Astyanax mexicanus: one gene and its partner. Each later gene encodes a partner of the first gene's protein in a complex. Links are inferred from orthologs where the notes say so. Each region holds a gene or a part of one and is shown on either strand. Other genes may lie near its edges.

Region 1 (3,753 bases):
ATTCATGAGCAAGAGCCGAAATCCTGTCCTTCTTCAGAGACCACTAATTCAGTGATCTAAAGCAGGGTTATACAGAAACACCAGAGACCACAACTAGACATTTTAAAATGAATGTAAAAACAATTGAATGAGACCTTTAAGGTGAATTCTTTTAAAAGTAAGTACTTTTACTGTTGTGGAGCGTTAAACCGAGGACTTATACATCTATTACTGGAGTAATGTTTTACCCTCTCTACATCTACTTCAACTCAAATACAGGGTTTGTGTACTTTTGTGTCTACTACTGCAGTAAACTGTAGGAATACCTGCAGGTCTCTCTGGACTCCTCGATCTCCTTTTGCTCCTCTTTGCTGTTGAGAACGGCGCCGATACTGTCGGCACTTTCTGCTCCGAGCTGCAAAACAACACAAACATCTTCCCTCAGCTCTCAGTGTAAAGCATAAGTGATGTAAAAATACAAAAACATCAGACTACTACTTTTTTTTGATTGATGATTTATGTGATTATTAATGGGTTTGACTGGTTAATTCAAAAGTGCCCAATCAGACTACTATTACATTAAACTGCATAGATATGTGTTAAAATAACAGCTATAGATAACGGCTAGATTAATATTAGGAGAAATTCAATTAATTACAAGCTCTGAATACTGTAAGTTATTAATATGAGAGGAAATAAAATAAAAAAACGAATAAAAACGAATCAGTTAAAAACATTTAAAAGTTAAAAACATTTAAAAGCATATTTTAAAAGCAAATCACTCCTTTAAAAATATTTTTTTCATTATAAATCCATAATATTTAAGTTAAAATACACATTTAGGTTGTGTCCCTGGGTTTCACTCAGTCCTGTTAGCTTAACAAATTACCCCATCAAAATCACTAGAATGTGCTTAGTGTCCTCATGCTATTAGCACAGCATAATTCTATGCTAAAAACTCAGTCCTGTCACTTTAATTCCCGTTACTCAAAACATAAAAAGTAACAGGAGTGAGTGGCATTAACAGGAATGAGTTCCAGTAACAGGAATCAGTGCCATTAACTTGTTAATGATTTTTGGTCATAAATATCACTTATTTGAACATACAGTCGAACATTTCTTTAAAATAAAGACTTTCTTGAAAGAAACACAAAGTTGCATTTGAACATGCTTTTTAAATGTCACACGAGTTTTGTAAACATCTTCGGCTTAGAAACCTTGTAAAAAAGTAGTAAGGTAAAGCTGCCTGCACTTGACAATTACATGTTTTGAATAGTTAAATACATGTGATATTAAAAAAATTAAAAAGTTTAATTTGGAAAAGTTACAACAATCAATAGCACCCGTTCTGTGGAATGGCCCAATTAGTACAGTGCTTATATCTCTTTTCTGAAAGAGAATTTATTAGTAAAAACTGTAGGTTATTATATGGATCTGTAAGGGTGCTGTGTCTGTACTGTGACTAATCTAAGCCTGTATCTCTGACTGTGTTTTTCTCTGTTTTCTCTCTATCTCTGAGTGTTTTTTTCTCTCTGTTTATGACTTAGTTTTCCTCTCTGTTTGAGTGTCTCTCTCTCTCTGAATCTCTCTGTACCTCTGAGTGTTTTTTTCTCTCTCTCTCTGTATCTGACTGTTTTTCTCTCTGTGTTTCTGACTGTTATTCTCTCTCTCTCACTGTAAATTTCTCTAAGTGTTCTCTCTCTGCAAATCTCTCGCTATCTCTGAGTGTTTTTTTTTTCTCTCTGTTTATGACTGTTTTCCTCTCTGTGTTTCTGAGTCTCTCTCTGTGAATCTCTCTGTACCTCTGAGTGTGTTTTTCTCTCTCTCTGTATCTGTATGTATTTCTGTGTGTTTCTGACTGTTTCTCTCTCTCTGTTTCTGAGTGTGTTTTCTCTCTCTCTTTCTGTATCTCTGACTGTGTTTTTCTCTATCTCACTGTAAGTTTCTCTATCTCTGAGTGTTTTTTCTCTCTCTGTTTGTGAGTTTCTCTCTAAATATTTCTGTACCTCTGAGTGTGTTTATTTTCTCTCTCTCTGTACCTAACAGTATTTCTCTGTGTGTGTTTCTGACTGTGCTTCTCTCTCTCTCTGTTTCTGAGTGTTTCTCTCTCTCTTTCTCTCTGTATCTCTTACTGTGTTTTTCTCTCTGTGTTTCTGACTGTATTTCTCTCTCTCTCTCTCACTGTAAGTTTCTCTATCTCTAAGTGTTTTTCTCTCTCTCTCTATCTCTCTCTGTATCTGTTTTTCTCTCTCTGTGTTTCTAAGTGTGTTTTTCTCTCAGTGTGTTTTAGTGTTTTTCTGTGTGTTTATCTCTGCCTGTTTCTGACTGTTTTTCTCTCTATTTAAGCGTGATTTCTGTGTTTCTCTCTCTCTGTAAATTTATCTGAATTAGTTTTCTCTCTCTCTCTGTATCTGTTTTCCTCTCTGTGAGTTTAAGCATGTTTTTCCTGTGTGTGTTTCTGTCTCTCTCACTCAGTTTCTTGAGTGTGTTTTTCTGTGTTTCCCTTTCTATCTCTCCCTCTCTCTCTGTTTCTCTCTTTCTGAATGTGTTTTCTCTGTTTCTGAATGTGTTTTTCTCTGTTTCTGAATGTGTTTTCTCTCTCTCTCTGTGTGTGGTTTCTCTGTTTCTGAGAGTGTTTTACTCTCTCTCTCTTTGTTTTTTTTTTTACCTGCTGGGCTAACAGCTGTCTCCTGAGCTTCTGCCGCTCCCGGATCTCCTGCAGTCTGCTGTTCATCTCTGATCTGAATCAGAGTCTGACCACTTTACTCAGAATTATAATAAATACACGGGTTTTTAAAGCGATGCAGAGAGAAACCCGCGCGCACACAGACACATTCAAACACAGCCCGGCCGGCGCAGGAGATACGCGTCACACAGTGTCACCGCGCGAGAGACAGAGCGCGAGACAGAGCGAGAGAGCGGGAAGACCGACCAATCCTGAGCTCTAAACCACCGCGTGCCGCTAGAGGGAGCCCGCGAGGGAGACCTGAGTGAATGGAGGTGAATAGAGGTAAACCATTAAAAACACACATTAAAAACAATTATTAACTAAAGTCTGTGTAACGTTTATTCATTTATTTTTTTATTATTTCATAATTTTCTTTTAGGTTAAATGCAACATTTGAAAATTGCATGTAAAAACTTGATTATTATTATTATTTTTTTATTTTAAAGTGGACATGAAACATTTCAGTTCGTACAAGTTTTCCAAGGGATTAAATATAATGGAATTTATTTGGGAGGGGATTTTTTTATCTAAAATGTTTACACACTAAATTGTAACATATATATGTTTGTTACGTTTGCGCTAGTGCGCCACCATTTTGCCCGTGCAGCACTGGTTACATCACGAGGTTGGTTGGTTGATGAGCCCAGGTACATAGCTAGCGGTCACGGTTTAGGAAAAGAGCTGGTAGCTCACCTGGAAGGAGTGGAGATGGAAGGAAGAAGGGAGTGAGTTGGAAATGTTTGGGATAAAGAGCGGGTCGTGGGATGGTGGAGGAGCGTGGCAAACTGCTGGAATTAAGAAAGGTAGGAGATTATCTGATCATGAGAGAGAGTCAGGAGCTTCCTACGCATGTCAAGTGTAGGAAGGAGGAGCATGTAGCACAGTATACAGTTCTTCTTAAGTTTGGAACTGAATCTGGGACTCCATTAAATCCAATAAGATTAAAGAGTGAGCTTAGGAAAGCTGTGGGTGATCTGGCTGCAGCAAAGATCTTGAGAGATGGCAGACAAATCAAGTCTCCCTGAAGCTGCGGGAATCTCCCGCAT
Region 2 (3,753 bases), on another chromosome or scaffold:
GTCAGGTGATCTAAATCTGAAGAAAAATACTTACTGTACATTCCTGCATCTCCTGCTCCTTAGTGGCCAGCCTCATCACCAGAATGTTCTCTCTGCGTGCAGACTCCTGTTGTTGCTGCTTTAGCTTCTCCTCAGACTCTTTCAAACCAGTCACATCATTGGCTGTGGATAAAGCATACCATTCAAATGCTCGCACAAACAATGCAATAAATCAAGAAAATAAATCAGAGTGCATGTGCGGAGACTTACAATTTAAATCAGCATATTTTGCCTCCAGCACCTGGACATAGGCTTCATGCTGTTTCCACCTAAGATGGAAAGTAAAATGTTTTTGCATTATTTAAAGAAAAGAACCGTAATTAAAATATTTATTAAAAAGAAAACTTATCCTTACCGTGTACACAGCTCCTCTCTGGTCAGGGTCTTCATGTCTGATTCATTAAGGCGAACCTGAAATACCAGAAATAGAAGCATTAATAAACTGACATAGCAGAGATTTCCTCATCATATTTCACAGCCAGTTAAGATCACTGTGCCAATGCGCTCACCTTCTTGGGAAGAGGTTCTTCATTAGTCATCTTGATCTCTGCAAAATGACAAAAATAAACAAATATAAGACGTACTGTTTTACTTCAGAAGAAAAACAACAGATTCACAACATACAGCTCTGGTTGCTCCAATACCATAAAATGGCCACATTAGAAATAAAGTGCGAGATCACACACTTTACTAGAAGACGTTTTTGTAGGAGGTTCATTTTATAACCTATTTCACTTCCACTGTAATTGGTGCAAAGGTTAGGCTGGCTAGATGGACTAAAGCACACAAGCAATATAATAGCCAAGTTATACCTACAGCACCATTTAAACAGAGAAACAGAAACTCTGAACAAAAATAAATCAACACCAGACAGTCAGTGTAACTAATATCATTTAAATTTGGGGCTAAACTCGAAAATATAAAACTGTATTCATTTTTAAAATTTTCCCATTTAGTAGCTATAATGAGAAAGAAGTGTTTTTTTATTTTACCAATTTTCTGTTAGTCAATTCTGTGTTTTGCAAACAGAATTTCAGGAAAAATCCATTTTAAAAATGACTTTATATTGTTTTGATTTTAGAATTCTTACCATATAATTCAACTTTTGTTACAATACACAAAAAAGGACAAATCTGAAAATCTAGAAAATAATTTTCCTGAAATTCTTATTTTGTGCTGCAGAAATGAGTTGTTGGAGTGAAAAAATATTTTAAAAAATAGAAGAAATAAAGACAAACATTTCTTCTTCATTACAACAAACTGAGAAAATAATAATAGCTAAGTAAGTTAATGAAGTTTCACACAACAATCGTAGTGTATTGTTGAATTTATCCTCTATAACGGTCAGAATATGGAACTCAAACGTTAACGTTACACTGACTCAGCCTCGCCGTGCTTTGGGTACAAGCAAAATGGACCACAGTTTAGATAGTTGCGCTCTGCGCACAGAGCGGTAAAAGCCTGTAACGTCATTAGCAGGGACATGTATAAACGGAGACTGTTTTAAGAGCTGGCTAGTTAGCTAGCGTTTCGTTCTGCTCCTCTACGTAATCTAGCCTAGCCTAGCCTGAACATGTTATACACTACAGCCCCTCGCACGTTTGTTGGACTGCGTTGGTTAGCATTTGTGGACCATACGAGTTCGTAACTAACCTAGAGTGTCTCAGTAAAAACCTCTCATTACTGTCCGCCAGAAATCCGTGTCCTTAAACCCCTAACCGAGGCCTGTTGGCTGTTTATTCTCGGTAATGTAGTTAAGCTAGTTAGCCCGTTAGCCAGCGTGAACAGCTAATACCGAGCTAGCAGGGCTGGCGCTGCTGCGTTAACCGCGTTAAAATCAGCGGAGCCCAGCGGAGCAGAACGGCGGGTCAGACACACACCTCCAGTCCCCGAACTATTTAGACGGAATTCCCCACGAACCACTGAACTACACCCGAGCAGAATCCCGAGACCAGCGCGGCGTTTAGACTAGTACCTGCCGGCTCCGTGTGTTATCAGTTTCTTGTCACAAAATGGCGGAAAAGGAAGAGACTCTCCCTCCGACCAACAGCGCAGCTCTCAGAACTTGTTTACCAGAAACGAGCCAGAAAAAGACACCCGAGATACTTACAAGCCCTGCTTTACTCAGACCAAGATGACCCAATCTGCTTCTAGCGCGCTACTAACGAGCAACCCGTCCCTCTAATAGCGTATTTCAATCTTAAAACGACCCGAGCCTGAGCTTAACGCGAGCTCCGCGTAGCCGCCATCACCGCGAGGACGATGGATGTTCCGCCGCAGAGGCTGAAGGGGCGGGGCGGCTTACATGATGTGTGTTGCAGCCTGTTAACCAGTTCAGCGACTGTTCAAAACAAGACCCCGCTCAGGAGAGACTGGATTAATAAATGATGAAGGTGTAATATTCACGCTGAATTCAGGAATAGATATATTTCACGGAAAGTATATGATATGTAATGTATTTTTTTTTATTCTTAAAATAATATACCTTATAGAAGCTCACTGAAGTCATAATCCTCATATTAGCGATATCTTGTTATAAGGGGTATAACTGTTACAGTTTTAGGACTGTTACACTGACCGTATCAGGAGCTGTAACTCCAGCTAATGAAGCATGTAGCTGCCTCCCTGTTGCAAATTACGAATTGAAAAAGGAATTCTCCTTTCTCTCTGGCAATTAGTAAATAGCTGCTTTCTAACAAAGGTAAAGACATTTATTTTATCCATGTTATGTCCTGCTCAAAAATTTTAAAATGTACGTTTCATGAAAATGTTCTTTTTGCCACAGTTTCCACAGCTTTGGAAACTGTCGCTCACCTATTTTGTACCTGCACTCCCTTTTGGCAGGATATCTCTTTAATGTTATTTCCTTCCCACATTTATTGCTAGAAAAAATATGATGGTCTTGTTAATACACCATGATACTAACCTGAAGTAAAATAAATCAGGTTATGAAATTGATGCCCTAATGGGAATAGTTTATACAGTATAAACAACTGTTAAAGCCATGTCATCAGCTCCAAACTTTAGAGTATTCTGCAACAACCTCATATTTATTTATGATTCTTTGTTGTTTATACAATAAACCCAAAAAATAAAGACATAGCTTCTGTTAAAGGAAATTATTAAATAACTATTATTTTTTTTGTATTGATAACTGTGTAGTGTGTGGCTTATCCAGTATCTTACACAAGTGAGTGCACTCCTCATATATTTGTAAATATTTAATCTTTTCATGGAAGAACACTAAAGATATGACACTTTGATTCAATGTAAAGTAATCAGTGTACAGCTTATATATATATATATTTTGCTATTTCCTCAAAATATCTGGCAACAAAACCAAGTACACCACTGTGAAAATGTCCAGATTGTGCCCAAAGGGTAAATATTTTGTGTGGCCACCATTATTTTCCAGCACTGCCTTAACCCTCTTGGGCATGGAGTTCACTAGAGCTTTACAGGTTGCCAATCCTCTTCCACTCCATCATGACAGCATCATGGAGCTAGTGGCTGTTAGAGACCTTGCGCTCCTCCACCTTCCTCAATTGGGTGTAGGTCTAAAGACATACTTGTCCAGGCCATCACCTTTATCCTCAGGTTCCTCAGCAAAGCATTTCTCATCTTGGAGATATGTTTGGGGTCGTTATCATGATGGAAAACTGCCATGCGGCCCAGTTTCGGAAGGGAGGAGAACTCTTACTCTTACTTATTCAA

Evidence for each region. Proteins that work in one complex are often made in the same cells at the same time.
Region 2: mettl14 (region 1) and pre-mRNA-splicing regulator WTAP share a complex: the UniProt entries of both Homo sapiens proteins name them as parts of the WMM complex. The link is inferred for Astyanax mexicanus from reciprocal best matches to the Homo sapiens genes METTL14 and WTAP.

Annotation. Positions count from the first base shown.
Region 1 is NC_064432.1:11,010,933-11,014,685, forward strand, and holds the start of mettl14 (N6-adenosine-methyltransferase non-catalytic subunit), read right to left. Parts: upstream 2,857-3,753; 5' UTR 2,714-2,856; coding exon 2,648-2,713; intron 395-2,647; coding exon 306-394; intron 1-305. UniProt on the Homo sapiens protein: The METTL3-METTL14 heterodimer forms a N6-methyltransferase complex that methylates adenosine residues at the N(6) position of some mRNAs and regulates the circadian clock, differentiation of embryonic stem cells and cortical neurogenesis.
Region 2 is NC_064408.1:74,746,621-74,750,373, reverse strand, and holds the start of pre-mRNA-splicing regulator WTAP, read right to left. Parts: upstream 2,336-3,753; 5' UTR 2,150-2,335; intron 2,071-2,149; exon of another isoform or gene 2,015-2,070; intron 1,939-2,014; exon of another isoform or gene 1,920-1,938; intron 587-1,919; 5' UTR 579-586; coding exon 549-578; intron 451-548; coding exon 395-450; intron 309-394; coding exon 250-308; intron 163-249; coding exon 35-162; intron 1-34. UniProt on the Homo sapiens protein: Associated component of the WMM complex, a complex that mediates N6-methyladenosine (m6A) methylation of RNAs, a modification that plays a role in the efficiency of mRNA splicing and RNA processing.